Linked DNA regions of Struthio camelus. The protein of the gene in region 2 purifies or fractionates together with the protein of the main gene of each other region. This does not show direct contact. Links are inferred from orthologs where the notes say so. Each region holds a gene or a part of one and is shown on either strand. Other genes may lie near its edges. The genes, in order: GRK2, GIT1, PAK1 and ARHGEF6.

Evidence for each region.
Region 1: the proteins of GIT1 (region 2) and GRK2 purify together in Homo sapiens (affinity purification with western blotting; 4 studies listed by BioGRID and IntAct, with this or other methods). This does not show direct contact. The link is inferred for Struthio camelus from reciprocal best matches to the Homo sapiens genes GIT1 and GRK2.
Region 3: the proteins of GIT1 (region 2) and PAK1 purify together in Homo sapiens (affinity purification with mass spectrometry; 6 studies listed by BioGRID and IntAct, with this or other methods). This does not show direct contact. The link is inferred for Struthio camelus from reciprocal best matches to the Homo sapiens genes GIT1 and PAK1.
Region 4: the proteins of GIT1 (region 2) and ARHGEF6 purify together in Homo sapiens (affinity purification with mass spectrometry; 3 studies listed by BioGRID and IntAct, counting the BioPlex papers as one, with this or other methods). This does not show direct contact. The link is inferred for Struthio camelus from reciprocal best matches to the Homo sapiens genes GIT1 and ARHGEF6.

The regions. Positions count from the first base shown.
Region 1 is NC_090946.1:3,108,009-3,115,928, reverse strand, and holds the start of GRK2 (beta-adrenergic receptor kinase 1), read right to left. Parts: upstream 3,017-7,920; 5' UTR 2,971-3,016; coding exon 2,858-2,970; intron 85-2,857; coding exon 8-84; intron 1-7. UniProt on the Homo sapiens protein: Specifically phosphorylates the agonist-occupied form of the beta-adrenergic and closely related receptors, probably inducing a desensitization of them. Key regulator of LPAR1 signaling.
Region 2 is NC_090957.1:16,988,743-16,996,205, forward strand, and holds the start of GIT1 (ARF GTPase-activating protein GIT1), read right to left. Parts: upstream 3,001-7,463; 5' UTR 2,934-3,000; coding exon 2,882-2,933; intron 187-2,881; coding exon 53-186; intron 1-52. Other genes in the region: ANKRD13B (ankyrin repeat domain-containing protein 13B), read left to right, coding at 7,266-7,387. UniProt on the Homo sapiens protein: GTPase-activating protein for ADP ribosylation factor family members, including ARF1.
Region 3 is NC_090942.1:220,589,046-220,596,928, reverse strand, and holds the start of PAK1 (serine/threonine-protein kinase PAK 1), read right to left. Parts: upstream 3,015-7,883; 5' UTR 2,947-3,014; exon of another isoform or gene 2,894-2,946; intron 1,680-2,893; exon of another isoform or gene 1,564-1,679; intron 1-1,563. UniProt on the Homo sapiens protein: Protein kinase involved in intracellular signaling pathways downstream of integrins and receptor-type kinases that plays an important role in cytoskeleton dynamics, in cell adhesion, migration, proliferation, apoptosis, mitosis, and in vesicle-mediated transport processes.
Region 4 is NC_090952.1:22,989,509-22,996,828, forward strand, and holds the start of ARHGEF6 (rho guanine nucleotide exchange factor 6), read left to right. Parts: upstream 1-4,315; 5' UTR 4,316-4,384; coding exon 4,385-4,549; intron 4,550-5,519; exon of another isoform or gene 5,520-5,574; coding exon 5,575-5,658; intron 5,659-7,320. UniProt on the Homo sapiens protein: Acts as a RAC1 guanine nucleotide exchange factor (GEF).

The DNA.
Region 1 (7,920 bases), on a different chromosome or scaffold from region 2:
AGCTCACCGATCTTCTGCGCAAAGATCTTGTCGAAGGTCACCTCCCCCCGGTCCTCCAGGTACTTCTGCATGACGCTGCGGATGCTGGGGAGACGCCAGATGGGCTCAGTCCTGCCCCCACCCCAGGCCCCTGCTGCGTCTCCCGTGCCCCCGTCCCCCCAGGGCATCTCCCACGGCTCCAGGGGCAGGATACATCCCCTCGCCGGCCACCCCACCTGCACGCTTGTCCCCAGGGACCCCGGTGCACCTGACCCCTGTTCTGTCCCCGCCATGACACCCTGCTGGGCCTTGGTAAGGGGTAGCCACAGGGTGCCCCACGCAGGGAGGGCCAGGGAAGAGGGGCCCAGGCATCCGAGGGCCCAGCAGAGGCCCCCTCCACCTCCCCAGGGAAACTGAGGCAGGCAGGGCTGCAGGGTGGGAGCTGAACGCCAGGCACGGGCGCCACGGTCGGCCCAGGACACCCGGGTCTGCGAACGCCGGAGGGAAAGCGGGGCCCAGCAGCGGGAGCGTGGCGGGCTGGGACATTGGGCTGCCACGCACAGCAGGCTGTGCACTGTGCTGCGCGGGATGCGTGCGCCCGACGCCCCGCACGCTGGGCTTTGCTGCCGGCCGGGCCGTGCATGTGGCGCGCGCCAGGCTGTGCATGGCTGTGTGCGCCTGCCCGGCTGGGCGCCGGTGCCTGGGCAGGCCGGGCGTGAGAAGGGAAGTTGCAAAGCGGGTTGTGTGGGCAGAAGTGGGGTGTGTGTGTGTGTGAGATCGACACGCGTGCGGGGGCGGTGTGCACAGCAGAGAGCATCACAACTCTGCGTGCGTGTGAAGGACAGGGGGCTGGGGAAGTGTTTCAGCAGAACCAACGTGTGAGTCTGCACGTGCACCGGCTGTGCACTCTGTGTGTGTGTGTGTGCAAGTGTGTATGTGCATGCATGTGTGTGCAGCCCAGCCCTGGTGCACTCTGCACAGGTGTGCACGTGTGTGTGCATGTGCACAAGTACATGCTTGTTCAGGAGATGCAAGGCTCCAGGACTGTATGCGTGCGTCCAGGCGCTGCAGTTTGCATGTCTGGCCAGGGACACGTGTGTTGGGACAGTGTGTTTGGGTGTATGAGCAAGAGGGGCATGCACACGCATGCACGGCTGAGTGACATTGCACATGCACATGCACATGTGTTTTTGTGTGCAAGAGGTGAGTGTGCTTATGTGGATGTGCCCGGAAGGAGGCAGGGTGTGTGCACGTGTGCAGAAGGTGTGAGCGTGGGTGTGCTTACACGCGTGCAGGTGTGCTCAGGTGGTGCTTGTGTGGGAGCACAGGTGTGAGCACACGCATGTGCGTGCCCCCAGCTGCACCTGTGTGTGTACACATGTGCGTGCCTGGGAGGATGCGTACCAGAGAGGTGTGTCTGTGTGTGCGCAGGAGAGGTGTGTACCCGGAAGGATGCATACCGGAGAGGTGCGTCTGTGTGTGCACAGGAGAGGTGTGTACCCAGAAGATGTGTACCAGAGAGGTGTGCCAGCATGCGCGCCTGTGCGGGCGCGCGGACGGTGCAGCCGTGCCCGTGCACGGCGAGGACAGAAAGGGGAACTGCAGGAGCAGGAAAGTCTGGGGGCCAGACAGGCTGCGGCAGCGCAGACCGGCGCCCCGCGCCCCGTCTCCCTCGCCCCACCGGCGCTGGGCCCCGCTCGCACGTACCGCGCCAAGCTCAGGCTTGCACATGCCGCACTGAGCTCGCACACACCAGGACACCCTTGCACATGCTGTGACACCCTCGCATGAGGAGCCCTGCTTGCACAATGCCAGCGTGTGCTCTGCCACACTCGTGTGTGCCTTGCTGCCCTGGTGCATACTGTCCCCGCGCGCTGGGCTCTGCTTGCATGTGCCAGGCCATGCTTGCACGCGCTGCGCCACACTTGCACACGCTGCAGCCTGCTTGCATGCGCCAGGCCCTGCCTGCACAGGCTGCGCTTGCAGGGGTGGCATGCTGCCTGCACACCCTGTGCCACACTTGCACGTGCCAGGCCCTGCTTGTGCACACTGTGCACTGTCTGCTTGGGCCAGCCCCGCTTGCCCATGCCACACGCCTTCTGCGCTGGGCCGCACTTGTGCAGGCCAGCCCTGCTTGCATGCACCAGGGCACGCTTGCAGGCCAGGTCACCTTACACACACCAGGGCCACAGTTGCAGGCCAGCTCTGCTTGCATACACCAGGGCACGCGTGCATGCACTAGGGCACGCGTGCATGCACCAGAGCACGCTTACAGGCCAGGCCAGCTTACACGCACCAGGGCACTCTTGCACACACCAGGGCACGCTTGCAAGCCAGCCCTGCCTGGGCACGCCAGGACACTTGCACACGCCAGCTGCGCTTGCACAGGCCGGGGCACACTTGCCCACCAGCCCTGCTTGCCCACCAGTCCTGATTGCACACGCCAGGGCACTCTTGCGTGCACCAGGGCACTCTTGCAGGCCAGCCCTGCTTGCACATGCCAGGGCACTCTTGTGCGCACCAGGGCACGCTTGCCCACCAGCCCTGCCTGCACACACCAGGGCACTCTTGCAGGCCAGCCCTGCCTGCACACGCCAGGGCACTCTTGCACGCACCAGGGCACTCTTGCCCACCAGAACTGCCTGCACACGCCAGGGCACTCTTGCACGCACCAGGGCACTCTTGCCCACCAGCCCTGCCTGCACACGCCAGGGCACTCTTGCACACGCAGCTGCACTTGCACAGGCCGGGGCGCGCCTGCCCACCAGCCCCGCTTGCCCGCGCCAGGGCAGGCCGGCGCCCGGGCCCCGCTGGCACCTGCCCGCCCTGCTCGGACGCGCGTGGGGCGCCCCGGCCGCGCCGGGCCCGGTGGCCTCACCTGGGCTCGGGCAGCAGGATCTTCTTGCTGGCGCGGGCGGCCGGCGTGGCCTTGCTCTTCTCCATGGCCATCAGGTAGCTCACGTCGGCCAGCACCGCCTCCAGGTCCGCCATCTTGCCGCGGCCCCCGCCCCGCCGCCGCCGCCGCCGACCCGGCCCGGCCCCGCGGGCGGCCTGGCCCGGCCCGGCTCGGCCCGGCCCTGGCGGCGGGCGGGGGGCGGCCCGGGGCGGCGGGGCGGCGCGGCCCTCAGCGGCGAGGCCCCCGGCGGCGGCGGCGGCGGCCCTGGGCGGCCCTCAGCGGCGCGGGGCCATGGCGGGGCGGGCGGCTGCGAGCGCGAGTGTGAGTGTGAGTGAGCGCGAGCGAGTGTGAGTGAGCGCGAGCGCGGTGCGTGAGCGCGCCGGCGGGCCGGGTGCCGGTGCGGCGGCGCGGGCGGCAGGCGGGGCCCGGGGCGGCCCTGCCCCGCCGCCGCCGCCTTCCGCCTTCCGCCTTCCGCCGCCTTCCGCCGCCGCCGCCGCCCGGGACCGCGGGAGGGAGCGGGGGGGCGGGGGGGGACGGACAGCGGGGGCGCGTGTGCGTGTGAGTGTGCGTGTGAGTGTGCGTGTGAGTGTGCGTGTGTGAGAGTGCGAGAGAATGTGTGTGTGAGACTGAGTGTGTGTGAGAGAGTTTGAGTGTGAGAGTGTGTGAGTGTGTGTGAGAGTGAGAGAGTGTGAGTGTGTGAGTGTGCGTGTGAGTGTGTGTGTGTGAGAGTGTGAGAGAATGTGTGTGTGAGACTGTGTGTGTGAGAGTGTGAGTGTGTGTGAGAGTGTGAGTGTGAGAGAGTGTGAGTGTGAGAGAGTGTGAGAGTGAGTGTGTGTGAGAGAGTGTGAGTGTGAGAGTGTGTGAGTGTGAGTGTGTGTGAGAGAGTGTGAGTGTGAGAGAGTGTGAGTGTGCGTGTGAGTGTGAAAGAGTGTGTGTGAGGGTGTGTGAGTGTGAAAGTGTGTGTGAGAGTGTGTGTGAGTGAGAGTGTGTGTGAGAGTGTGTGAGAGTATGTGTGTGTGTGTGTTAGAGTGCAAGAGAATGTGTGTGTGAGACTGTGAGTGTGAGAGAGTATGTGTGAGTGTGTGTGTGAGAGTTTGTGAGTGTGTGAGACTGTGTGAGAGTATGTGTGTGAGTGTGAGACTGTGAGAGTGTGTGAGAGAGAGTGTGTATGTGAGTGTGTGTGGGTGTGTGTGTGTGAGAGTGTGTGTGTGAGACTGTGTGTGAGAGAGTATGTGTGAGTGTGAGTGTGTGAGAGAGTGTGAGTGTGAGAGTGTGAGTGCGAGAGTGTGTGTGAGACAGTGTGTGTGAGTGTGTGAGATAGTATGTGTGAGTGTGAGACTGTGAGAGTGTGTGAGAGAGAGTGAGTGTGTGTGTGTGAGAGTGTGTGTGTGAGAGTGTGAGTGTGTGAGTGTGTGTGTGTGAGACTGTGTGTGTGTGTGAGAGTTTGTGTGAGTGTGTGTGAGAGTATGTGTGTGAGAGTATGTGTGTGAGTGAGACTGAGTGTGTGTGAGTGTGTGTGTGAGAGTGTGAGTGTGCATGTGAGTGTGAGAGTGTGAGGGTGTGTGAGTGTGAAAGAGTGTGTGTGAGAGTGTGAGTGTGAGAGTGCGTGTGTGTGAGAGTATGTGTGAGTGTGTGTGTGTGAGAGTGCAAGAGAATGTGTGTGTGAGAGTATGTGTGAGTGTGTGTGTGAGAGTATGTGTGAGTGTGTGAGAGAGTATGTGTGAGTGTGAGACTGTGAGAGAGTGTGTGAGAGAGTGTGTGTATGTGAGTGTGAGACTGAGAGTGTGAGAGAGAGTGTGTGTGTGTATGTGAGTGTGTGTGTGTAAGAGAGCGTGCATGAGTGTGTGTGTGTGTGTGTAAGAGAGTGTGTGTGCATGACAGCAGGGGTGTGTGAGTGTGTCAATGTGTGTGTGAGAGACCAGGTGTGTGAGATAGTGTGTGTGTGTGAGACACCGTGTGTATGTGTGTGAATGTGTGTGTGTGTTACTCCAAGGGTGTGTGTGTTTGAGACACCGTGTGAGTGTGTGTGAGAGACGCCGTGTGTGTTTGTGTGTGTTTGTGAGACACCAGGGGTGTGGGGGTTTGTGTGTGAGAGAGTGAGTTTGTGTGACACAACTCACACACTGTGTGTGTCTCTGTGTGTGACACCATGTGAGTGTGTGCGTGACACTTGAGTGTGTGCGTGTGTGTGTGCGAGAGACACCAAGTGTGAGTGAGATGCCATGTGTGTGGTGTGTGTGTGTGAGAGTGACAGCAGGGGTGTGTGCAGGTGTGTGGGGGTGCGTGAGAGAGACCGGGAGAGTGGTGAGAGACACACAGGGGTGAGTGTGCGTGCGTGTGTGTATGTGACAGCACGTGTGACACCGAGACAGCCGCCCTGCACGACCTGTGCCGCCGGCGGGGCCGCCCTGCTCCAGCTCCGCTCCCGGCTTCCTCCCAGCTTTTAAACCGAGCCCAGCTGAGGGGTGGGAATTAAAAAAACAAAACAAAACCCCAAAACCCCTTGTGACAAGCTCATTTCTAGGGAGTTTGGCGCGTGGGGAGGGCCAGAGGTGCCAGGCCACCTCGCAGGCCCGGGCAGCGCGAGGGGCGGCAAAGGCGAAAGCCTGGGCGCAGCCACGCAGGCGGGAGCAATGACGCTGGAGGAGGTTTCGCTTCCTTTTAGCCGGCCTGAGGCAAACCTGGCAGCGGCAGCGCGGCCGCCCCGGCGGGTGGGCTGCTCCCGGGAGGGCTGCGGCGGTGGAAACTGCTGGAGATGGGGCAGAGTCGCCCACCGGACCCTCAGCTCCGCGAAGGCGAGGACCGAGAGAGGCGGGATTCAAGCGCCGTGGATTCGGCGCTCCCCGAAGGTTGCTAGCCTCGGGAATTGGGCGCGGAGGCACGCCGGCTCCCTCCAACAGGATGCTTTTCTGGAGAAGGACGAGACCCCCGGGCAGGAGGAGGGTCCCCGGAGGAGGTCGGGGCGGCGCTGGCGCGCTGAGGATCGGCTACAATACGTATCATAGCCAAATGGGCAAGTTGGGGCTGGTGGTTTGAGCCCGAGAGGAGACCCCCCGGTTGTGCGGGAGGAGCAGCCGGGCTGCCTCCAGCAGCGTTTTACGTGCCTCGGTTTGAAACGACGCGTGGAAGCAAAATGCCTTTGTATATCAAAAAGGAGGGGAACGACCCAGCTGCCCCCAAAGCAGGCTCGAAAGGGTTTGAAGGGTGACGGGAGACAGCAGCAGCAAGAGAAACCCGAGGCAAAGGCAAGGGGGCATCCCGCTACGGTGCAGTCGCAGCGCGAGCTCTTCCAGCCCGCAAGCTGGTCCGGGACGTCCCCAGCAGTCGAATGGGGGCACCGTCGGCAGCCGGGAAGGCAGGAAGTGCCTTTGCTTTGCCAGTTTGACCGTGCGTTTCGGGATAAACCCCTGCTCCAAGCAGGGCCGGTTACAGAGCTGTGCCAGCTGTGGTGCAAGGCGCTGGCAGGGCCAGCCCCAGCTGCCAAGCAAACGCGAGCGGGTGCTCGCGGCCGCATGCAGCACCAGGACGCGGCTCGACCCGCCGCCAGGGCGGGGGGCGAGCGGCCGCAGGGGACCGTTCCCCGCCGCCGCCGTCGGGTTCCCGCACGGGAGCCCGGGCGTGTGACTAAGCCCCGCGCTTCCTCTCCACCCAGCTCGGCGCGGCAGAGGAAGCCCCAGGGCCGGGCGGCCGCAGAAGCTGCGGCCTCTCAGCCCAGCCCAGCCCAGGCCTCGGCCTCTCCGCTCCCCTCTGACTCGCAGACAAACAACGGGCAGAACCGAGACGCAGGGTTATTTTTTTTTCTTTAAATTTTTATTCCAAAAATCCACCCCCAAGAAACAAAATATTTCCCTTCAGAGGCTGGTATCTTCCCTCCCCTCCCCCCCCAACATCTCTTCCATCCCTGTGGTAATCTGTTATGAGCAAAGATCCTCTCTAAAACCAGTATCGGAGAATGCTTAAAAAAGAAAAAAGAAAAATAAAACAAAAAAAAGCCAACTAGCTCCCCTCCCTCTGCCCTCAGACAAGAAACCCCCCAACCCAAACCATACCGACTGAGAGAGCGTAAGACTTGGTTTGCTTTTACCCTTAATGCTTACATTTAATTTTAAAGCACAAACATCAGAGATGGACTCTAAATCGCCAACAAAAAATATATATTTACAATATTTCTCCGGGGGGGAGGGAGGGGGGGAATCGAAACGAAACAAAAACACAACCAAACCCTTAAACAATAGTGACTTCTGTTGCAGGAGTTGTCTTTAGGGAGCAGTCTGGGTTGTTTTTAAATCACTAAGTGATTTTTATATATATATAATTCTTTTTTATCTTCTTCTTTCCTTGTGAATTTTCACCCCTCGCCCACCAAGGGGGCTGGGGTGGCCAGTTAGGTGACAAGGGTCGCACCTTGATTTCGAGTCTCTGAAGCCCCAAAGGGGGGGGTGGGGGGGGATGGCTGCCCCGGGCACCCTGCCCCTCCCCGGCTCAGCTCGCCTCGTCTGCCTCCCCGTGCTGCCCCAGAGTGGGGGGCTGCTTTCGCTCGGCCCCGAATGCGCGTGTAAATAGAGACGCTCGCTTTCCTGGCGGAGGAAGCCCAACGCCCGCCCAGCCTGGGAAGCCCCAGGGCTGGCCCAGGCCCCCAAGCCAGCTGCCCTCCCAGCTCCCGCTAAGTTTTGCCCCAACCTTTCTTCTTTCTTGTCGTGAAACTCAAAATCAATCCAAAGGAGAAAAAAAAGAAAAGAAAAAACAAAAACAAAAAATAAAAACAAAAAAAACACCAAAACTTTGATTTTTCGGCTGTTTTTCACAGGAGCCACCACCAAGAGAGACTAAGGCAGGCGGCTTCTGCTGCCCGGCCACGAGCAGAGGGGCTGGCACTCTTGCTCTTAGTCTCGGGGTAATTTTCTACTCGAAGCCCTCCCGATTCATTGCAGCAAAACACCCGTGTACTGAGGCACTGCGGAAACCCTCACACTCACATCTCCCTTCTCCACCTCGCAGCGATGGAGCAGGCTCTCGCCGGGGAGGGCGGAAAGCGCAGACCAACC
Region 2 (7,463 bases):
CGGCGGCGGGGTGGGGGGGGGCCCGCGGCCGGCGGGGGCCCGCGGCACCCACCTGCAGCAGCGTGGCGGGCCAGGGGCTGTGGCGCAGGTGCTTGACGATGGAGATGTGGCGGCCCAGGCTGCGGTGCACGCTGCAGCACTCGTCGCAGATGAGCACGCCGCGGTTGATGGAGGCCCAGCCGGGGTCTGCGGGGGGCGCGCGGGGCGTCACAGGGCGCCCTCCCCGCCCCGGCCACCGGCCCCCCGCTGCCCCACTGCCGGCAGAGCCGGGGGGGGGGGGGGATGCAGGGGACCCGTTGCCATGGAAACCCGAAGGTTTCCCTAGCTACCGCTGCGGGCTCAGCCCATCGCTAGGGAAAACCTGAAGGTTTCCCTTAGCAACATGGCAAAATGGGTTGGGGGGGGGCAGGATTGGGCCGAGCAGGGGCTTTGGCGGGGGGGGAGGGAGTCGCACCCACCAGGGCTGCCCCGAGCTGCAGCTCCGGCGTGCGCAGCTCCGGCAGGCCCCGGGCGGCCGGCGAGCGGCCCGGCGCGGGGGGCAGGCGGGGAGGGGGGGGCAGGTGCTGCGGCCCCCTGCCCGCCGCCGGGCCCCTTCCCCGGCCGGGCCGCCCTTCCCCCCCGGCCGGCCGGACTGGAGCCCTTTGTATCCGCGCGAGAACAAAGGGCCGTTTGAGCGGCCGGGCGCTCCGGCTCCGAGCTGGCACCGGCGGACGGGGGGGGGGCCCTGCCCGCCTCGGCCCTTCGGCGCCCGCTCGGGGCCCGGCGGCGGGCGCACGTGCAGCTCCCGACGCCCGGGCGCTGGCCGACGCGAAGGGGCCCTCGGCGCGCCCGGGCCGCCCCGCAGCAGCCAGGACGCGGCCGGCGCAAGGTCACCGCGTCCCCGGCGGGCGGGAGCCTCCGGAGCAGCCCCCGCGGCGGCCGAGGCCGCGAGTTCGGGAGCATCCCCCCCTCCCGCCCGGCAGCAGCCCCCGCAGGGTGCCCAGGCCCAGCTCGGCGCTGCCCCTCTGGCCCCCCGGGGCCGCTCTCGCGGCCGCAGCGGGACGAGGACCCGTTCCCCTTACCCCCGCGGAGGAAGCCTGGCGGGCGGCGATGGAGCCAGCCCGCCCCGCGCTTCCTTCCTGCCCCGGCAAAAGGGCGGCCGGGGTCGCCGGCACGCCGGGCCCCTTCCCTCCGCCCGCGGCGGGTGCTGCCGCAGAGCTGCCCCCGCCGCCACGGGGCGCCGGGGGTCCCCGGGGCCGGGGCGCCGTGCCGCGGTGCACAGCCCTCGCCGGCGGCCTGGCGGCTCCGCGGGCGCAGATGGCGGAGCCTTGGCAGCCGGCGCGGCCGCATCTGTGCCCGCGCGCGCTGCCCGCGGGGCGCTGCGGGAACGGCCCGCCGCGCCGGCGGGCAGAGCCAGGGAGGGTCCCCGCCGCCCCCCCCGCCCGGAGCCCCTGCGTTCGGCTTGGCCGGCCGGCGGGCTGCACCAGCGGGGCCCGGAGAGGCGCCCGGCGCCGGCGGGGACCACGCCGGCACGGCGCCCCGCGCGATGCCGAGGGCGGCATCCGGGGACGCGCGGGCGGCGAAGCGGCGGCGTGCCGGGCGGGCAGCCCGCGGCGCTCTCCCCCCGCGCCGGGCGGTGGGACGCAGCCCCGCTGGACTTTATAACTCATTTCCTCCCCTGGCTGCCGGGTGATAAGAGAGTGGAAGAAACCGGTTCCCATTTCGCTGCGCCGGGAGGAATCCTTGACGCACGGCAGGCCTGGCGGCGATGCCCCCGTCCCCCGGACTCGCCTGCCAGCGCAGGGAAGCGCCCCGACCCGCGGGGCTGCTCGGCTCCCACGCGCGCCCGGCGGCTCTCCTGGCAGGATCCGGCCCTTGGCACGCGGCCGGAATAATTCCAGCACACCCTTCGCCCGGAGGCAGCTTTCCGGGCCCGGCTCCGAGCGGAGCGAGCCTCGACGCTCGGCCCTTTTCATTCATTAGCTCCGCGCCGCGGAAACGCGCCTGGGCCGGCGGCGGGCACGGCGGCGGGCGGCAGCTCGGGGGGCTGCCCCGGCCCCCTCCCCGCTGGCTGCGCGGCGTGCCGAGCACCGGGCTGGCATCCGGCGCGGGGGCTGCCGGGCACCGGCGCAGCCGGGGACGCGAATCGTCTTGCCCAGGCTCAGGCTTCGGCTTGCAGCGCGGCCGGCGCGGGCCTGGCGCAGCCCTGCGCGGCGTCGCCCAACCTGGCCCCGGCCGGCTGGGGGTGCCAGGCAGGAGCGGGGGGTCGGGCAGGAGCGGGGGGCCCCTCGGCAAGCCGGGGGGAGAGGGAGGGGTCCCCCCACGCTGCCACTTGCAGGGTCCCCGGTGCTGCTGGTGCAGGCCAGGTGCGTCCCCAGCCTGCAGCAGCAGCCCCCGCGCCCGGGGGGTGCAGAGGACTGGGGGGGGTCGTGCACTGGGGGGGCTTTGGGGTGCACTGGGGTCGCAGCAGGGCCTTCCGGGGGCGGGGGGTTTGCTGGTTAGGGCTCACTGGGGGTACATTAGGGGTATACCGGGAGATTCCTGGGGTGCAACACGGGTGCACCAAGGGGCTCCGCAGGGGCACGCTGAGAGCACACCAGAGGGGATGCGGGGGCACACCGGGGGGCTCACCGGGGGGGAGGACGGGGTGCCCCGCGGCATGCAGGGGGGGGGCAGCGGGGAGAAAAAAGGCTGCCCCGCGGCATGCAAAGGGGGGGGGGCAGCCGAGGGCGCAGCGCGGGGTGCACCACGGGGGTGCGGGGGGGGGGACACGGGGCGCCCCGCGGCGTGCCAAGGCGGCTCACTGGGGCGGCAGCGCGGCTGCACCGCGGGCTCACGGCGGCGGCGAGCCGGGGCCGCAGCGGGCCGGGGCCGGCGGCGGCGGCGGCGGCGCGGCCCTTACCTGGGGCGCTGCAGTCGGCGCACACCTCCGCCCGCTGCGCCTTCCGGGACATCCTGAGCGGCGAGGCGGGCCCGGGCCCGGGCCTCTGCGCCAGCGTGCGGCGGCGGCGGCGGCGCCGGGCCCGCCGGGGGCGCCGGGCCGGGCCGGGCCGGGGCGCGGCGGCGGCGGGGCGCGGCGAGGGGCCCGGGGCCGGGGCCGCGGCGCGCCGGGGCTGCCGGCTGCTCCCAGCGCCCGGCGGCTCCGCAGGAAGCGGCGCAAGCCCGGCCCCGCCGGGGGAGGGGCAGCGCCGCCCCCGCCCCGCCGCCCCCGCCGCCGCCGCCGCCGCCGGCACCGGCACCGCGGCACCGGCCCGGCCCGGCCCGCGCGCCCCCGCCGCCGCCGGCCGCGGGCCTCTGCGCCGCCGGGCTCGGGCCTGGGCGCCCCCCGACCCCGCGGCTGGGCACCGCTGCCCCGCTCCTGCGCACCGCGCCCCCGCTTTTGGCACCGTCCCGGACCTGCTCCTGCTGCTGCTGCTGCTCCTGCTCCTGGTCCCAGTTCTGTGCATCCCCCTGCCCTGCTCCCGCTCCTGCTCCTGGTCCCGGTTCTGTGCATCCCCCTGCCCTGCTCCTGCTCCTGCTCCTGGTCCCGGTTCTGTGCATCCCCCTGCCCTGCTCCTGCTCCTGCTCCTGGTCCCGGTTCTGTGCATCCCCCTGCCCTGCTCCCGCTCCTGCTCCTGGTCCCGGTTCTGTGCATCCCCCTGCCCTGCTCCCGCTCCTGCTCCTGGTCCCGGTTCTGTGCATCCCCCTGCCCTGCTCCTGCTCCTGCTCCTGGTCCCGGTTCTGTGCATCCCCCTGCCCTGCTCCCGCTCCTGCTCCTGGTCCCGGTTCTGTGCATCCCCCTGCCCTGCTCCTGCTCCTGCTCCTGGTCCCGGTTCTGTGCATCCCCCTGCCCTGCTCCCGCTCCTGCTCCTGGTCCCGGTTCTGTGCATCCCCCTGCCCTGCTCCCGCTCCTGCTCCTGGTCCCGGTTCTGTGCATCCCCCTGCCCTGCTCCCGCTCCTGCTCCTGGTCCCGGTTCTGTGCATCCCCCTGCCCTGCTCCCGCTCCTGCACCTGGTCCTGGTTCTGTGCAACCCCCTGCCCTGCTCCTGGTCCCAGTTCTGTGCATCCCCCTGCCCTGCTCCTGGTTCTGGTTCTGGTCCTGTGCATCCGCCTGCCCTGCTCCCGCTCCTGGTCCTGGTCCCGGTTCTGTGCATCCCCCTGCCCTGCTCCCACTCCTGCTCCTGGTCCCGGTTCTGTGCATCCCCCTGCCCTGCTCCTGGTCCCGGTTCTGTGCATCCCCCTGCCCTGCTCCCGCTCCTGCTCCTGGTCCCGGTTCTGTGCATCCCCCTGCCCTGCTCCTGGTCCCGGTTCTGTGCATCCCCCTGCCCTGCTCCCACTCCTGCTCCTGGTCCCGGTTCTGTGCATCCCCCTGCCCTGCTCCTGGTCCCGGTTCTGTGCATCCCCCTGCCCTGCTCCCGCTCCTGCTCCTGGTCCCGGTTCTGTGCATCCCCCTGCCCTGCTCCTGGTCCCGGTTCTGTGCATCCCCCTGCCCTGCTCCCGCTCCTGCTCCTGGTCCTGGTTCTGTGCATCCCCCTGCCCTGCTCCTGGTCCCAGTTCTGTGCATCCCCCTGCCCTGCTCCTGGTTCTGGTTCTGGTCCTGTGCATCCGCCTGCCCTGCTCCCGCTCCTGGTCCTGGTCCCGGTTCTGTGCATCCCCCTGCCCTGCTCCCGCTCCTGCTCCTGGTCCCGGTTCTGTGCATCCCCCTGCCCTGCTCCTGGTTCTGGTTCTGGTCCTGTGCATCCGCCTGCCCTGCTCCTACTCCTGGTCCCAGTTCTGTGCATCCCCCTGTCCTGCTCCTGGGCACCATCACAGACCTGCTCCTGATCCTGCTCCCAGCCCTGGTTCTGGTCCTGCAGGCCCTCCTGCTCTTGGTCCCAGGCCTGGCCTTGTTCCTGTGCACCCCAGCCCCAGGCCTGACATCCTCCCATTCCTGGGCACTGTCCTGGACCCGCTCCTGGTCCCGGTCTGAGCCCCAGTTCAATGAACACCCCTGCTCCTGGCCTTGGTTGTGGTCCTGTGTACCCCAGGTCTTGGGCATCATCCTGGTCCTGGCCCTGGTTGCAGTGCTAGGCACACCCCTGGTCCTGCTTCTGGTCCTCAGCACCCCCTTCCTCAATACTGGGCACCCTCCTGCTCCTGGTCCTTGTCCTGGCCCTGGGCACCCAGCCCTGGGCACCCCTCTTCTCTGGGTCCTGGTGTCAGCCCTGGTCCTGTGCACCCCCCTGCTCCTGGCCCCAGTCCTGTGCACCCCAGCCCTGGTCCTGTCCCCCACCCCAGGCCCGGCCATAGCCCCTGCCCTGTGCACCCTCCCCAGGGCCCAGCACCAGCAGTCCCCCGTGCCTGGGCTGGTTGGGGGCCGAGGGGAGCCAGGACACCGGGAAGGGTCGGCAGCGCTCTGGCCCCTGTCCGCGGCGTGGCTAACGGCCTCGGTTCCCCATCCGGAGGTGGGGGTGGCCCCCACCCATGGAGACCTCTGAGATGGATGAACCTCTCCAGGGCGGTGCAGGGCCATATGGGGCCAGGCTCCCTGCACCACAGGGCTGCGCACGAATGATTTGGGTGGGGGGGATGGATAGAGCAGAGTCTGTTTGGGGTCCAGTCCCTGCTCTGGGATCCTTTAATCTCGCAGAGTTGGGGGACACTCCCGAAACCCCAACAGGCCTCTGTGAGCAGCCGGAGGGGCCCCGAGCTGCCGTGTCCTGAACATCTCCTGCTGCACCAGGGCTGGAGCAGCTTCCTCGCCCCGCGCCCAAGTGGGGCTGGTGGCTCGGCCCCAGCTTGGCCGAATCCTGCCGTCCAGCACCACCGCGGGGCAGGCTCCGTGGCCCGGCCGGCGCGGGTGACCTCACTGCTGGTTGCCGTGGAGATGGCTTATGACGTCATAGGGCACGGAAGCCGCGGGGAGCACAGGGCGGATGGGGATGCTGCACGGGGATGCCGGCCACCCCGGCCCCGGGGAGCAGGCAGCGGGGCTGGCGCAGCGGAGGAGCTGGCTGTGCTGCTGCGGCTGTGCTGTTCCGGCCACAGCAACGGAGAATAATAACAATTTGCATTTATTCCTTGGGGCTGTTCCTATGGCGGGGGGGGGGGCGGGGGGCAGCTCAGCAGGAGCGGGGGCAAGGTGGCGGCGGGCCGGGTGGGCCAGGAGCCCCGTGCCGGGGGCTGGGGAGCTGGGCACCTGGCAGCAGACCCTTCTGGGCCCTTCCTGCATCCGTGGGGCACGCCGTGGGGCAGGCATCCCTGCCCGGAGGACGGGAACGCCGTGGGGCGGGTGTCCCTGCCTGGAGAATGGGAACGCCGTGGGGCAGGCATCCACGCCCAGAGGCCAGGAATGCCGTGGAGCGGGTGTCTCTGCCCGGAGGATGGCAATACCGCGGGGCAGGTGTCCCTGCCCGGAGGACAGGAAGGCCGTGGGGCACGCGCCCCTGCAGCAGAGGGGAACGGCGCCGGGGCCGGGAGCGGGGCGCTGGCAGGGAAGGCCGGAGCGCCGCGCCGCGCCGTGCCGGGAAGGCCCAGCCTCGCATTGTTCTCCGGCAGCAGCCGGAAAACACGACTCCCGCCCTGGAGAAACGCAGGCGGAAAAGGAAACGCAGGGGCAGGGGCCGCGGGCCTGGCCTTTCGCCGAGCCGGGGGGCCACGGCGCGGGGGGCCATTTGGCACCCACCGGCACAACCGCCTGTCCCATGGCCCTTGCCGCCCCCCCATCATGTGCCAAGAGCCGCTGGCTCACTGGGGGGGGGGGGGGGGCAGGAAAGGGAGGGAGGAATCAGCTGGGGGTGGGGGGGATCTGCTGGGGGGATCGGGGCCACCGCGGTGCCCCTTCGCGGCCACCTGTGCACGGCCCCATGGCACGCAGGGGCCGGGGGCAGCGGGGGTCCCCGGGGTCCCAGCGGGTCTGGGGCTGGGGGAGCCCCGGGGCGGGGAGCGATGCCGGTGGGAGGAGGAGGAGGAGGAGGAAGGTGACGCGGGCAGGGGGGACTACAAGTCCCATGAGGCCGGGCGGGTGCGGGGGGGTGCCCGGGCCGGGGGGGGGGGTCCGCCGCGCTGCGCTCCGCCCCGCTCCGCCCCGCCGCCCCCCGCCGCCCGCTCCGCCCCGCTCCGCGCCCCGCTCCGCTCCGCGCCCCGCTCCGCCCCGGGCCGCCCGCCCCGCTCCGCGCCGCCCCGCGCGCCGCCCCGCCGCCCCCCGCGCCCCGCTCCGCGCCCGCCGCCCCGCTCCGCGCCGCCCCGCGCCCCGCTCCGCGCCGCTCCGCTCCGCCCCGCGCCCCGCCGCGCCCCGCCGCGCCGCCCCCCGCGCCCGCCGCTCCAGCATGCACGGAGGATGCTCGCGTCTTGCTCAGGCAGGAAGGGGCCGGAGGGCAGGTACCCGCTCCACTACCTCGTCTGGCACAACCGCGCCCGCGACCTGGACCGGGAGCTCAGCGCCAAGCAGGTGGGGCCGCGGGCGGGGCGGGGGGGCGGCCCGGCTCGGCTCGGCTCGGCTCGGCTCGGCTCGGCTCGGCCTGGCC
Region 3 (7,883 bases), on a different chromosome or scaffold from region 2:
ATCAGGGGGTTTTAAGCTATCCATTCCTAAAGAGCATCGCATGCCTTATACTTAGAAGGGAAGAATTGATCACAGTGACTTATGTACTGCTGACAGTCCCCGTTTGGTTGCCACTGAAGTCAATGGAACCAGGCCATTTCCATCTCTGGAAACAAGGTTTCAAAGTAGTATCCCCCCCAGGTGAGAACCAGGTAGAAGCATATGAGAGACAACAAACTGGACCAGTGATTTTCTCCATAAGAACAAGCCCTCGGTATCAAACAGAACATGTGCAAGTTCACCCCAACTCCTATACAGGTCAAGACATCAGGCTGAGAAAATGAGTCCAGTTCCTTGCCAAGCACAGAAAAAGGCTTTTTCATGCAATATGGCTCTGGCACACAATATTCTTTGGGCTTCACACGGATGTGAATGCCAATGAGACATATTCTTGTACCTGTCAAAGGACTAACAACAGACTAGGGTTTGAAGAAACATGACTTGCGCTTTCAGTTGTTTAGTCTCAGTCCATTTCTTGTACCTCCTAACAAAGAGAGGTTGTTTCTCGAAACCTTTACAGTCTGTTTGCTTCTGTTATCATCCGCTGCTGACAGGATGAACTGTAAACCCAGATCGCTTTAAGGGCGGAGCCCTGGATCATTTCTGTATTTTGCTACCTTGAAAAGTCTATTTCAGCTACAGAGGGCTCTGCATACTCTTAGGAATATAAGGGAACTAGGCTGTAACAATTAACTTTTGAAATTAGAAAACTTCCCACAGGTAGGAAGTGAGGCAAGTGCACAGGAGAGAGAAATCCAGATGCAGCTTATTCATATTAAAAGAAAGAATTAGTTAGCAAGCCAGGTGAAAGCCATGCGCTTGTAGTCAGAGCTGAGAGAGAAGATCTGTACAGGCTTAGGAAAAAAATACATAAGAATCAGTAGTAATCACACGGTTCTTTCACCTTTTCGACAAAAAAGTCGGCATCAGTTTTGGACCTAGTGCAAGAAAGGCAGTCAAAAAAAAAAACAACAATAAACAAACAATGCTTTTCCCCTTGCGGATGATGAGCTAAGCTTGTCACACATTTCTTCTAATTTCTTCTTCTCTGAGCAACATCTGAAGTTGCACAGTATTCCCTAAAGCCAGTCAAAGCATTCATGCTGTCATGGTACATGAGCACTTTCCTCTTATTTTTGGCTTTTCCAAAAAGCCCAAAATTTCCAAGTCTAAGAAAGGTAGCTATATCATCCCATTTAAAGAAACTAGTCTCTTCCCATACGACTTGGGAAAGCTAAACACTCACCTAGCTTATCAATCTCTATTTCCAAAGTACAGCATTGTTATACCACACAGGTAAAAACTAGTTCTGTCCCACGATACAAGACAAGAGCGTTTCATAGTTTAAGAGATTCGGTATTAGAACGCATGTAAAGTTCCCCTTTGCTGTCTGTTCTCCCCGCGGAGACGAGCTTTACTTCTCTGACTAATCTGCAGAAAATGCACAGGGAAAGGCAGTTTCTAAGCATCCAGCTGACACGCGCAAGATCTGCTGCACAAAGAGGAGGTTTTTTTCAGCCTTACCCTGAAAAGCCGTGAGCCAGCTTAAGCCACCTACACGCCAGGATGTTAAGAGGAGCAGGCGTGAAGATGCTCCCTACTCTGCCAGGTAGTGTGTGCAACACCAAGAAACTCCAGGTATGGAGAAGGGGGAAGTAGTTTGGCGAAAGGCATCTGTGAGTCACTGTACAAAGAGTAAGTGCAAGCAAAGAGAACAAACACTCTTCCGCCTGTGCCCAGCACACAGCCATTTCAGCAAACTCCAATACCCACTTTCACTTTGAGAAGCTTAAACAAAACTAAACAGCTTTTGCAATTAGTCTTATGCATATAAAATGTACCTATCACTGCATAACACACAAGCCTTACAACGTGTAACAAGCCCCAGCAAAGAGCCAGATTTGGACGTCTATTTATTTATCGGTCTTGTTGCTGAAGAAAAACTCCTGGAGGTAGTGCCTGAGTAAGGATCGAGTAATGCTCAGTGGGAGCAGATGCACCATGACACGCAGACGGACGGAGCCAGCTATTCCCCACAGTCATGAATGTTAAGCCCTCCGGACAACAAAAGCATCAAGAACAGGGACTGCAGGCACAGCAGAGCCGTGGGTTAGGGCATTTCCATGCACGGAGCAAGAAACAAGCCTCAGTGCCCCAAAGGGCTTGTCCTGCTGGCGCTGCCTTTCCTGCAGGCTCCCAGGAACACCCAAGAGCACCCAGAGATGTCCCTTCACAGCCACCCACTTCCCAGGCAGAAGACCCTGCTTTGAGCAGGGGGCTGGACTACAGACCTCCTAAGGTCCCTTTCAACCCGAGTTATCTCATCATCCCAAGTTCAGCTTTCCTTTTAACAGTACTTTAACAGCAAAAAGGCACGATCTGAAGGTAGGGGCGGGGGGGGGGGAAGGGAAGGGAGAGACACACGCCCCCCTCCCCATCCCTGGCCACCGACCACACAAAGCCAGGGGCTCCATCACCCCATCGCCCAGCAAAGGGTCCAGCTCTTCAGTTCTTTGTGTTTGCCTAAAGCACACGCACACACGCACACACATACACGCAGCCCGTCCCCGCTGCCTCCAGGCTGAACCAGGACAGGCTGCCTCCGCTCAGCAGAAAGTCAAGGGCTGAGCCCCGATCGCTCCCTTCCGCCCTTTGCACTGCAACCCTCTGCCCAGGGACCCTAAACCTGCTCTCTCTCTCTTGCAAAGCCTGGGCCCGGGGACAACTCCCTTTGTTAAATGAATGAACCGGGGGGGGGGGGGGGAAGACTGAGTATCTCCCTCCTTCACCCCGCCAAAAAAAAAAAAAAAAAGCCCGGTCTCTCAGCCCCTTTGCAAACTTCCCGGCTACAAACCAGCAAGCGGCGGCGAGGAAATCCCCCTTCTTCCCCAGCCCGGCGGGACTCACCTTCCGCCCGCTGCAAGGTGCCGCCCGGCTCTCCGCCCGCCGCGCCGCCCTCCAGCCGCCCCTATTGTGGGCGCGGCGCCGCCTCCCTTGGCCCTCCCCGCCTTGCCGCGGCCATTGGCTCCGGGGGGGGCGGCCGTGCCGAGAGGGGGAGTAAAAAAAAAAAAAAAAAGGGGATTTGATACCGCAGATGGACAAGTTGTACGGCCAGGAGCACGGGCCTGGTAAGGCGGTGGGCAGGCTGTCTAGATACACCTCTGTAAAACGGCGCAGTGAAACAAGCGGGTACAGCCAGAAGGGAAAGAGGCACAACAGAGCTGCCTTTCAAAGACAGCGCGCCCGCATCGGGCAAGTTAAGAAAACACCGCCGCGGTCTCGCCGTTCTCTCTCGGACCAACGTTTCTCCGTTCTATAAGCTGGTTCAGGAGCTAAATCAAGCAGAAAACTCACTCCACAGACCTGATCGAATGAATGGAGGAAAGCAGAAAGCAAGTGCAGGATGGGTACAGAGCGGGACTGCAAAAGAGCTGGTTTCGATCAGCTTAACCTGTTGCGGAATTGCACGCTTTGATGTACTCACAGCTATTAAATTAAATTTAAAATTTAATTCCGAACCATTCTCACAGATTGCACGAACACAGCTACAGCGCTGCCTGGACATAGCCTGTCATCCGGACACAACATAAAGGTTGTTAATGTCAGTGTATCAGTTACTTCACTACAAAGGCAGCTACCACCAGCCGGTATCAAGAACCCCGCAGTTAACGGGAGTCGGGCGGACGAGACTGCTGCAGGCAGGGAAGCGAGGAGAAAAGCCCACAGCTGAGCTTGCATGTCAGATGCCAAAAAAAAAAAAAGGGGGGGGGGGGCCCACCATCGGCGCTGAAGGCAAAACTGAACGTTATCTTTCAGAGCTTTGCTGAGACCTGAGGATTAACTTCCTCTTGTACCATGCTAGGTCTCAAAAAGCCTCTTAAGAAAAAAATGTGGCTGCTATAAAATGTGGATGGCTGGGAACTAAAAAAAAAAAAAAGAGTTTTGAAACATAGCAAGAGATCAGTCCAAAGCACTCGTAAACAGGCCTTGTCCAACAAGACAGTTTTAAAAATACATTCATTCAACCATTTATCAATAATATCAAGAACAATTGTGTAAGATATTCACAGCAGCTGACTTAAGGCCTGGTCCATATGCATCTGTATCAGCTCGTGGATGGCTCTAACAGCCCCTACTACAACTGTATGTAATACCTGTATAAAAGTACTTAAAGCTGCATGAGATAATATTGTACTTTAATTATAGCTGTTTCTAAGACCAATTAAAGCTGAGAAAAGACTTTATCTATACACAGGTTAACTCAATTCAGAAATTGTTTCAATGAAATCTTTGTAAATTCATCGCCAAGGGACTTCTCCAAAACATCCTGAATTGTACGCTTTTGTTCCATTGCTATTCTATTCTGCAGTAACCTGGAACCCTAAAGAGACACCGTAAAGGGATATTCTGAGATTCTGAGACTCACAGTTTTCTGAATTTAGCCAAATTTCAGCACGCCTTTGTCCCAGTAAATTGTTGGATGTTTCGGACAGAGTTCCCAAACAAAAGGAGGAAGAGGCGCTTGCAACGTCCATGCAGAGCATCAGAATGGGATATAGACCTACTACTGCCGAACAGAATTAGGTGCTTGAGAAAGGAATGAGTGAAACGCAGATCATTTTATTTGCGTTATAAGCACTCAAAGCAGAGAAAGCGCTCAGTTTTTTTTTTTTCCAGGGAAGGCTCCATCTTGCCTTGTACTCAGAATAAATTCTTATGGCCCCTTTCCAGTAAGGGGGGGGGGGAGGGTTATTTTCTTACACCTCAAAAGGGTCTCTTGTGTTCTGTGGGAAGAAGCCTGGCACCAGGCCCTAGCCTCAAAGACCGACTCTGTTAAGCAATTGATTTTAGAGCAATCATTTAAGAACCTCATTTTCCTCCACTTCAGACAGAGTAAAGTGAGCGCTCCAGCTTTGGTGGGGCATACCTTAACGATTTACTCTTTGACAGCAGTATGGGCATTGATGGTTCTTCCCCTGCTGTGTGCCTCTGCTCCTGAGCCACCCCCTGCACTGTGCCAGTACGGCTATTTGTGCAGGTAGATAATGGAAGGGATCAGGGAACTGAGCCATCTGAGATTTTTCCTGGCTGTTTTTCAGCCAGATCAAATCCCCAAATACCAGGGCTGGCACAACGCATGGGGAACAAAAGGGTATGTGAAATCACCAGAAGCTACATCTCAGCTGAGGGACAGTAACTTGCTATGATGTAATAGCTTAGCTACCTGCAATCATCCCTCCACCCCTCTAATCTGCTCTAGCAAATATAGACTAATTGGCCTCAGCCTACATGGAAAAAACTTGAGCTTATGAATGTCTTGAAGAATTATCATATATATGGAGAAAACTGATTACAAGTCTCTAAGTCTTAGTAGTCAGATAAGGATTGGGGGGAAAAAAAAAAAAAACCACACACACACACACAAAATCCTGTAATCACATATCACAGAATCACAGAATCGTTTAGGTTGGATGGGACCTCTGGAGATCATCTAGTCCAACCTCCCTGCTCCAGCAGGGTCACCTAGAGCATATTGCCCAGGATCACATCCAGACGGGTTTTGAATATCTCCAGCGAAGGAGACTCCACTACCTCTCTGAGCAACCTGTTCCAATGCTCCGTCACCCTCACAGGGAAGAAGTTTTTTCTCAGGTTCAGATGGAACTTCCTGTGGTTCAGTTTCTGCCCGTTGCCTCTTGTCCTGTTGCTGGGCACCACGGAGAAGAGGCTGGCCTCATCCTCTTGACACTCCTCTTGACATAATATACACAATTATAAAGTTCCTCTGCCAAAGGGCTCACTGAGAAGACATAGCAATAGCAAGCAAAACTGAAGGCGATAGTGGGTCAACATATTATTGCTTGGAGGTTTCTCACCCAGTAAATCAAAAGTCAGTCCAGCAAAATTAATGTTGTTATAGTGGTGTGAAGCAATGAAGACGACAGACCGTGATTCATCACTGCCCTACATATTGTATAAGCTTGTACGGCTCTGCAGAGTGTACATAAAACACTTCCAAATCAGAACAATCTCCTTTTAAGTCCATTTTGTCTCAAGTGGATTAAAGCAGTGGAAAATGTGTTTCCGGATGCAAATCTGGGAGGCACCATAGTCAATGTTTTCTCTAAATGAACATGCAAAAAAAGCATGTCAGACTGCACAGCAGCAAGAGTCCTTCGATTCCCCAACTAGTTTTAGGGGGTTTCATTGCCAGAAAACCCAAGCAGCAAAATGATGAAAGGGCTGGAACACCTGACTGGTGGTGAACAGCAAGGCCTCATTCCGGTCTTACCTATCGCTATGTTAGGCGGCACATAAAAGCTATTGCAAAGAAAACTAGAACCAGCTCCAAAACATACAAAAGTAGCACATTACGTCTGGAGCATATTTAACATCAACATGCCTTTCTTACCGTCCTGCAGAAATGGTTTAAATCTTGGCCAGTTTACATGAAGGGATTCAACCCAATCCAATTTGCTAAGACTCCCCCACCTCGAATGAGGCTGAGCACAGGGATAAGAACCAGGACTGCCATTCTAGCAAACTAAAACTGCTTTGTTTTAGCAAACCTGCCTTCAAATTACATTTGTTCTATCCTAGTAGCATCTGCAGTTTTGTCAGCTGAAATCAAAAATCCACCTTATGCATTTACTGTTTCTGCAAAACCATTTCTCAGTATTTAGCTATATATTTCAGTTGATTAATTCTGGATAAATGGTTAAAGCATCATACTAGAGATGTTCCCACATACCACTTGGCCCTTCACCTCTTGTATCAAGAAGCTTACAGTAAAGAATCACAGTGTGTGGGGGTAGTGCAGATATTTTAGTAATTACAACCTGGTACAATTTTTGAGGCTTAAATCCCAGATCATTCAGGTGCTCTTTAAGGGTTAGTTTCTTGTTGGTTGAGTTATCTAAAATTGACTGAACACTCAGAGGACTCTCCATGCCATTCCAATTTTAAATGATCTTTTACCGCTTCACTGAAGTCCTGGAATCTGGCAAAACGTCTGGTGATGAATACAGTTTTACATTCCAGAGCTCCTTTAGCCAGGAAATTGCACAGCAACAGCTAAGAGCGCTTAGTACTTTGGTAAGGAGTAAGCAAGTGAGGGTGAACACTAGGGAAGCCACAAGTGACTATCTGATTTGGGATGCCTTATGTATGTATCTCTGGAAGTCATAAAATACAGATGGGTCCATGGCTTAACAATGAGCTCAGTCTTTGATTCATTACCTAAAAGCTGAATCTGAACACATATATCTCAGTTTCGAGGCCTACTACTGATTCAGAGCTTAAAAAGATTGGGGGCGGGGGAGGAGAGTCACTGGTCTTTGCTGTAAGTTTCTGTGGAGCTGCCCTGATCCCTGGTTTTGACAGATTTTATGGCACTCTCTCAGTGAACTGAAGAGTTTTGTTTCTTGAAAAATTATGACTAGCCATTGGTAACCTTAGATAGAAAACATATTCAAATGCATGAGCTTTGAATGCTTTGGGTCAGCACTAATTCACACCAGGATGTGACTGTTTACATTTTAATCCTACAGTTTGCAGGAATCTGTGGAGAGAAATGAGTACCATGATAGCAATTAGATATTAAAGACATTATCAACGTGCTCCAAAATTAAGCATGGCACTCAAGTCAGAATTGCCTCTTCTAATCTCTCAGGTCAGTCTTATCCACGTCTCTCTACATCAGAGCTTCCTCTTACCAACAGTCTAAAAAGCCGATCCCTGTCCCTATTCCTTCCCAGACGTTTCTTGGAACAGCTAGTCCTACTCCCTCCTCTTCTCCCCTTACCCCCATGATCCCAACCTCTATCTGCTTAATTATTCACCTT
Region 4 (7,320 bases), on a different chromosome or scaffold from region 2:
TAGATTTGTTTTACTATGGATTAGTACTTAGTGGACCGTGTTGTAATTAATAAAGATATTCAAGATAAAATTACACTTCTTTAGCCTACTTTGCAGCTTATAAACCTTACTAAATTTTCTAACAGGAAAGGTGACAATGTTAGTTTAAGGAGTGGTAGATAGTACTTAACGGACTGCATGGCAGGAAAGCTAATACTGTCTTACTAAAAATAAGGATGTAGTTGTACTAATTCAGCAAGCTATTTGCCTTTTCTTGATCCTAAGTTGATAGCAATAATAATTGCGTTTTTAATTCAGTTCACACCACAACGTTATTTACAGATGTGCGTATGTGCATACCAGTTTATTATGGGAGAGCCAGTGGGATTTTGTGGTGGCAGTTTTGAAGGGATGTACCCTGGAATTACTTGGTGCTCCCCCCGGAGATGCTGTTGTACAATAGGAATACAGGTAGACCTCAGACTGTTTCGATTGTTGTAGTTAAGTACTGATGTATTTTCATACCCTTGGCACAAATTGAAAACAACCCAAATGTCTGCATTGTGCATGTATAAATACATTGATCAACTCAAAGATTATTTAGCCTTTTTGTCTGTCTGCTGGTTTCTGAGAGTGTACTAACTTGACTTTCCTCTTTTCAGTTATGGGGACTGGAAGAAGGCACTGGAGCAGTGGAGATGTGTTGGAAAATCGAAGGATAACAAAATACAACAGATAAAACTTGGGCTTTGAGTACGATGTTGACCAGTATTTGTTTTAGAGGGCTGTGTTTCATTCAGGAATTGCATCTGAAAGTAGTGCTACTTATCTCTTGGATGTAAGCTCTCAGATAAGTGGAAACCAGTTGCTGTTTCTGCAGCTAACCTCTTCTAAGTAGTAAGCCCTTTTTTTTTAGTCAGTATACATGCATCAGTGGATTGTGCAGCAGAAGAACATTCCAGCGGTGCTCTTCACATAGGGTGCTTTTGTTGTGTGCTAAAAAAGGAGCAAGTTTCATAAAAGTGAGTTTGAGCCCTCCAAAATGCAGAGGAAAAGGGTGTCCTTCACAAAGAAAGAGACCGATAAAAGTTGTATGACATTTTTACATTAACAGTGGTATAACTGTTCAAGCCTTTTTGATGGGAGGAAGGAAGTGCTGATAAAACCATATTTGTGATAAATCCCCAGAATAGTATTCAGAAAAACTCCAGCCAGCGTTACTACTACTTATACATGTGCCGTTCTATAGAAACAAGATGTTTTCTTAATTTACCTAGGTTTTGGTGCATTCATACCCTCATAAGTGTTGATGTGCCAATGTATACGAGAGTAATCCTCAGTCATCATTTTTTCATAAAGCTAACTACAGATTGATGGAAATCTTTACACAGTCATGGCTAATAAAGTTTATATTGACTTCTTGTACTGTAGACATAAACTGATTTTATTTAAACAACACCTAGTCTATAAGGATTAGCTTAAAAAGAAAACATGCATTTCTTACTGAAAGAATTTAAAACTGCCTTTGGGTTTGGGGTAAGACTCTCACTTTGAGCTTCAGTTATGGACTGCAAACTCTAGGGAGTGCGTCTTCCTGTATGTAGCAAGGCGATGGACAGAATTGCATTATTTTCCAGGGCTAATAAACTTACTGTTAAACAAAAGCATTATTAGCTTGTTTAAGGAACTCCTTGCTTCTTAGCTACACGTACGTGGTGGAAATAGTTACCATTATTATACAGTAATGGAAGTTTATTGTTATGAAGAGGTCTTAGAGAATGCACCTCATTTCTTCAAGAATGGTGATATGCTGTGCTATTAAAAGACGCCTTTTTAGCCGTAGTTTATCGTCTGGCTGCGGCTGCCTAAAATACAATCCCAGCACACGAGCTACTGTATGAACAAAAATTACGTCTGCCTAACATGGTAAATAGATCATGTTGGTGCTGCATTCCCATTAGCTTATGCGCTGACTCAAATTACGTTCTTGAAAGTCTCTAGTTTAAAAGGAGATTGTAGACCAACATGCTTTTCTAAAGCTAATACTATCGTCATTATCAGTCATTGTCTGAATCAGACTGCAATAGAAGTTTATTGGTAACTTAGGGGTGAAGGTTGACTCTGCATGAGAAGATTGACAGTTCGTTTGATTTGTCCCTGTCAGCAGATAGCTAATGTTGAGATCAGAGATGATAACTTTTCCAAAGAAAGACCAAACAAGAAACTGTTCCTCACTTTGTGGATCTACCTCGATACCCGTGGTTCTGCCACAGAATTACTTCACCAGTGAGAAGAGGTGAAAACATCGGTACATTTTCAGTGGGATCCTGATGTTCTGAAAGATGTAAAAGTTGGCCTCAAAGTAGTTAGAGTACCATATGTTTTGGGGGCTTTCTGAATGTGTGAGAGAGCAAATGGCTCTGGGTCAGTCTTTCGAGCTGTTGGTACGTGTCCAGCACGTCAGAGGTATTTTCATTTAATCATAGTTGCAACTGATGGATGCAGAACAGGCATGGAACTCTTAAGACTGTCTGCCAAAAAATGAAAGGTTAGATACTTGTTTTGGAGGGGGGAATGAGCAAAGTATTCTTTGGCGTTCAGGTTTGTAGTACCGCGTTTAATGAAGCAGGTGTGGATTTTTCCCTTCCTTGAAGTACTTCTCGTGCTCTACATCAGAAGCCGGTGGATTCTAATCAAGAATACTGGAGTGGATGTCTTCCATTTGAGAATGGTGGGCCACAGTATATGAATGAGCATTGCCAATTATCTTGCCTACTATAGATTTGAGAAAAGGCAAGCTCTGAAAGTGGAGAGTGCAAGTATGCACTTCCACAAACAAAATAGTACTGCTCATGAGAACTTTAAAAAAGCCTACTGTTTTGAGGGTCTCTAATTATAAATTTCAAGTAAATTTTTCTGCACATACGGATAGCTATAGATGAACTTTACCAGATGGCAGTGAGTTTTGTGATTTAGCTTCAGTCAGTGTTAACCATTCACTCTGGCAGCTGCTAGTGTTACTAGTATTTTCATATAAAACAGAATTCATCCCAACATCCTGTGGCCAAAAATCTCTAAACCTAAAAGGGCAGTTCTGAATTCTTACTACTAGCTATTAAAAATGATCCTTAGGTATGTCCCAGTCGTAGGACCTGGAAAGTGGGGACACAAAACAACACATACCTTGCATGTAGTTTTTTCCTTTTGCTCTTCTCTTTCTCCCTACACCTCAAATTATAAGCCTCAGCGATTCAAGAGAGCTGATGTCTTGAAACCAGCTGCTTCAAGCAACAGGCTCAGGAATTGATTTATCATTTAGAACATTGTCAGAGAATTTTTGGTCTCTAGGATAGTTACTTCTTCCTGTTTCATTGCTTTCTATCCCTGTTGCTCTAGTTAACTTCTTAGGAGTCATGAGTTGGTTAGAAAATGGTAGTTTTCTGTCTGTTGGTGAAAGGACAGTTGGAAAACTGTGAGATGACTGGACTCTACTAAATTAACATCACCAGTAGTGCTGGCTAATATTACCCTAGAGCAGGGTAAAAAATTCCTAAAACGACTCTATCCTCATGCAGTAGATCCTGTAGAGAGCTTGTAGAAAGGGACGCTTTAATGGGACAAGTAAAATAGTTGGAAATTTTCATTCTCTGCTTCATATAAAAAAAGACTTAAATTTGGTTTATGAAGTTTTCACAGTTACCCAAGATGTTTGCTTTGACAGATGGTAATCTTGCAAAAGAACATTTTGGATTATATGTTTATTTCTTGTATAAAATAGTTGAGGAAAAAAATGAGATTTTGACAAATGCGTGATTAGAATCATAATCAGATTTTGCAAATGGAAAACTGTTGTAAAATGGCAGTGATTTAAAATGAAGACTTTACCTCAGAAAGTTAAAAATTAAATTTTATTTAAAAGCTTGCATGGCATGTTTCCCCCCAAATCATCTGTAGTGTAACATACAATTTTAATACTGTAAATATTGCAGTGCACTAGGAAATACTGACCTTTACTTTGTTGAACAATAGCCACAAGACCAAGCTTACCAGGTTGTAGAATGACATCTGTCACAAGGAGAAAGTAACTAGGTAAGACCTTGGTACAATATAAGTATCTGCACAGAATACTTCTGTTTTCAGAAATGCTGAAAATGTGTAGTAGGTATGCTTTCACTATATCCCTTTGAAGTAACAGAGTTCTGTAAACCATTGTACAAGGACGTTTCCTACCTTAGAGTAACTATAGTTCTGGTTCTTAAAATTCAGTGAGTTTCAGTGCCCAGTGAAAAAAAGTCGTTTCACTCTTAAGCCCTGCACGCGCCAGAAGAGGCAGGAAGATGTAATCACGGATGTGGGTTAGAGCGAGTTGTTGCACAGAAGTGCAGTGAAGGCAGAACTCTCAGCAATGAATCCAGAAGAGCAAATTGTAACATGGCTTATTTCATTAGGAGTTTTGAATTCTCCCAAGAAAATAGTAGAGGATCCAGAGGAGTTCCTGAAAACTTCTCTGAAAGATGGAATAGTGCTTTGTAGACTCATTAATCGCCTTCTTCCAGGATCTGCAGAAAAGGTAACTTTTTAGATACGTTTCACTAGCCTGAAGTTAGAGCGCTGTTTGGTGAAATAGTGCACTGCTTATTATAGGATATGGTTTTCTTTGGTAGGTAGCATGAGTGAGGAAGATCAGCAAGATCAACATGTTTAAGTTACTAGTTAAATCTAACTTAGGGTAAAGTAGGATCCTAGCTTTCGGTTTTTGATTTTCTCTCTTTAACATCCACAAAAACCCAGAAGGTTGTAGTTTGGCGACTTAGGTGTTCCTTTCAGCGGCAGAGGAAATACTAGGCCTACCAAAAGTCAAAAAACACCTTATTTTTGAACAGATGGATGTGTGGTTTGTCTCTATAGAAGTAAATATAGTTTGGAACTGTCACTGTAAAATACCTTGCTATTCAGGAAGTACATTGGGGAGAGCAAGATGAGGCTAGAAGTAAATGAACCTTGCATCCGTGCCATTTTGAACTGTTTCAAGTCAAGCAAATACGTTTATGTTGAAGCAGTTTAAGCCATCTGAGAACCTTGTATTAGGGTTTTGCTAGGCATATGTGTGTGCAGTCCAAAACAGTGATAAGTAACTGTGGGGAAAAAAGGGGAAGGAGTGTGATGAGAGATAGGAAATGGCAGCACAGAAGAGAATCTGTTTTAATTAAAGGAAGAAGCAGGTTCGTCCCCACCCTGTAAAATAGGTGCCTTTGTTTAAAAAGCAAAAATCACTTTTGTTAGCTACTTATCTCTTGTTTATATATGATGGTTTGGGGCAGTGCATTCTTAAAGGTCATCAGTTTCCCACTATCGCTTTAGGGCACTGTCGTATGTTGACATTCAAAACAAGATGCCGACCATTTCGATTTATGCATCACTTCCTCCGGTGGCTCTTTCTTCCTGGTTCGACAGCTTGCCTGCCACCCCCATCCGCCCCCTTAAGAAGCTTCCCTAATTCAATATAAAACGCACATGTCAATATTCATGCAGGCCTTCTGAATAGAGGCTGTGCAGAAGGTAACATAGTGATCTTGGTGGATTTTATTTCTTTAGTATTGTCTGGAGCCTAAAAATGAAGCTGATTGCATCAGTAATATTCAAGAGTTCCTAAAAGGCTGTGCAGTTTTTAAAGTGGAGGTAAGTCAACTAGTATCCTTCACATTATTTTGTTCTCATAATGTGCTTGTTTAATATATATTCTAAAAGGAAGCCAAATACCAGAGGGGCAGGTAGTCATTCCTAATCTTTTGTATCGGGAACGTGAATAAGAATGTGGGTAATGTAATATTGTGGCTGGAGAATTTGGAAATGGAGTGTTTTGACTGTGAGCTTAACAGATTCCTTCAAGACTTTGAGAGGAATCTAAACAGTCACATAGAAATATACACAGCGATAACAGAAATTCTGTCTAAACACAGTTGAGCTGTGTTGACCGCTTTGGTTTTTTTTTTTTTTTTTTTCCCTCCCCCACAAGGGCTTGCCATTTTTAGCCTTGCTTTAGTATAAAGGTGAAATATTCTTAATACTGCAGTATTTTTATCCATTTGCAAGCACTGAGAGAGATTCTGCCAAATACGTCATATGAAGTGGTCCTTATACATACAAATAATCCTATTGTAGACAAAAGATAACTTTTCAGTGGCTATTCCTGGTGCTGTATGATTCTTATGCCTAATCATCGTTCGTATTTACAAGAACAGAGTCCAAATGCATCACTTAAGAGTTCAGATAATTTTGCCGTTATATTTTTACAAATGCACATGCATTTAAAATGTTTTTAAAAACTTTGATATAACCCTTAAATTTCTACAGTAAAAAGGACCCTGTATCTAAGAGCTGTCACTAACTTGTTTGAAGTTTTATCCACATTACAAAAAATATATATATATATTCTGAAGATAAATTCCGCTAGAAGTAGGGAACAGCATCCTTGGGCATTACAGAAAATTATGCACCACAGTGAGAGAGGGTCGAACCCATGGCAGCCCTGTTGCTGTGCTTTTCCTTTGGAGGTCTAAACAAGCAAAAAGAGACACTCTTCTCTTTTTAGCTAGCCGGCATGAAAATTCCTTCATTCCAGAAGTGTTTAACTAGCCTGTTGTTTCCCACTAATCCATTGCTAAAAGCCTACTGCAGCAGCCTAGTTTTAAGAGCAGACACATATAGAATCACTGAAGGGCTATCAGATCAGAAATCAGTGTTGCCAGTCTTCTGGTACTTGACCATGTGATTTTTTTTCAGTTTTTCAGAGAGATTATTTTTCTATTTAAAAAATAGATCTAGTCATAATTGTTGTGGTGGAAAACACTAAAAATAGGAATCAAACTGCAAAAATACAAGTCAAGGGAACAGTCTTGAACTCTGTCACGCTTTAAAATCTCATAATTTTTAATCTGGTCCTGAAATACTGCAGCCCCACTTCACAATTTTCAAATACTAGGGATGGGCAATATTTTGCATCCAGCCCTGGATGCAGCTCTGATCGTACTTGTTCCTTTTCTTTCTTGGTTTTATTTTAAGAAAAGAGTTCCAAATTTTTGTTTTTCTGATTTATAAGCCCCGTAATCGTTGAAATACTCTGAGCCTTCAGTTACTTTCATAGTGCACGTGATTGCCCCTTCTCAGTTCTCTAAAGCTAAATAAAAGCTCAAATCGAAAGTAGACCTCTAAAGCTAAATAAAAGCTCAAATCTCTCAAGCTTGCATTTAAATTTTGCAGCCAAATGAAAATAATTTCTCATTGTTTTTTCATGGTACCAGAAATATTAGTAACAGTCATATTAGAGCACCAAGTGAAAAC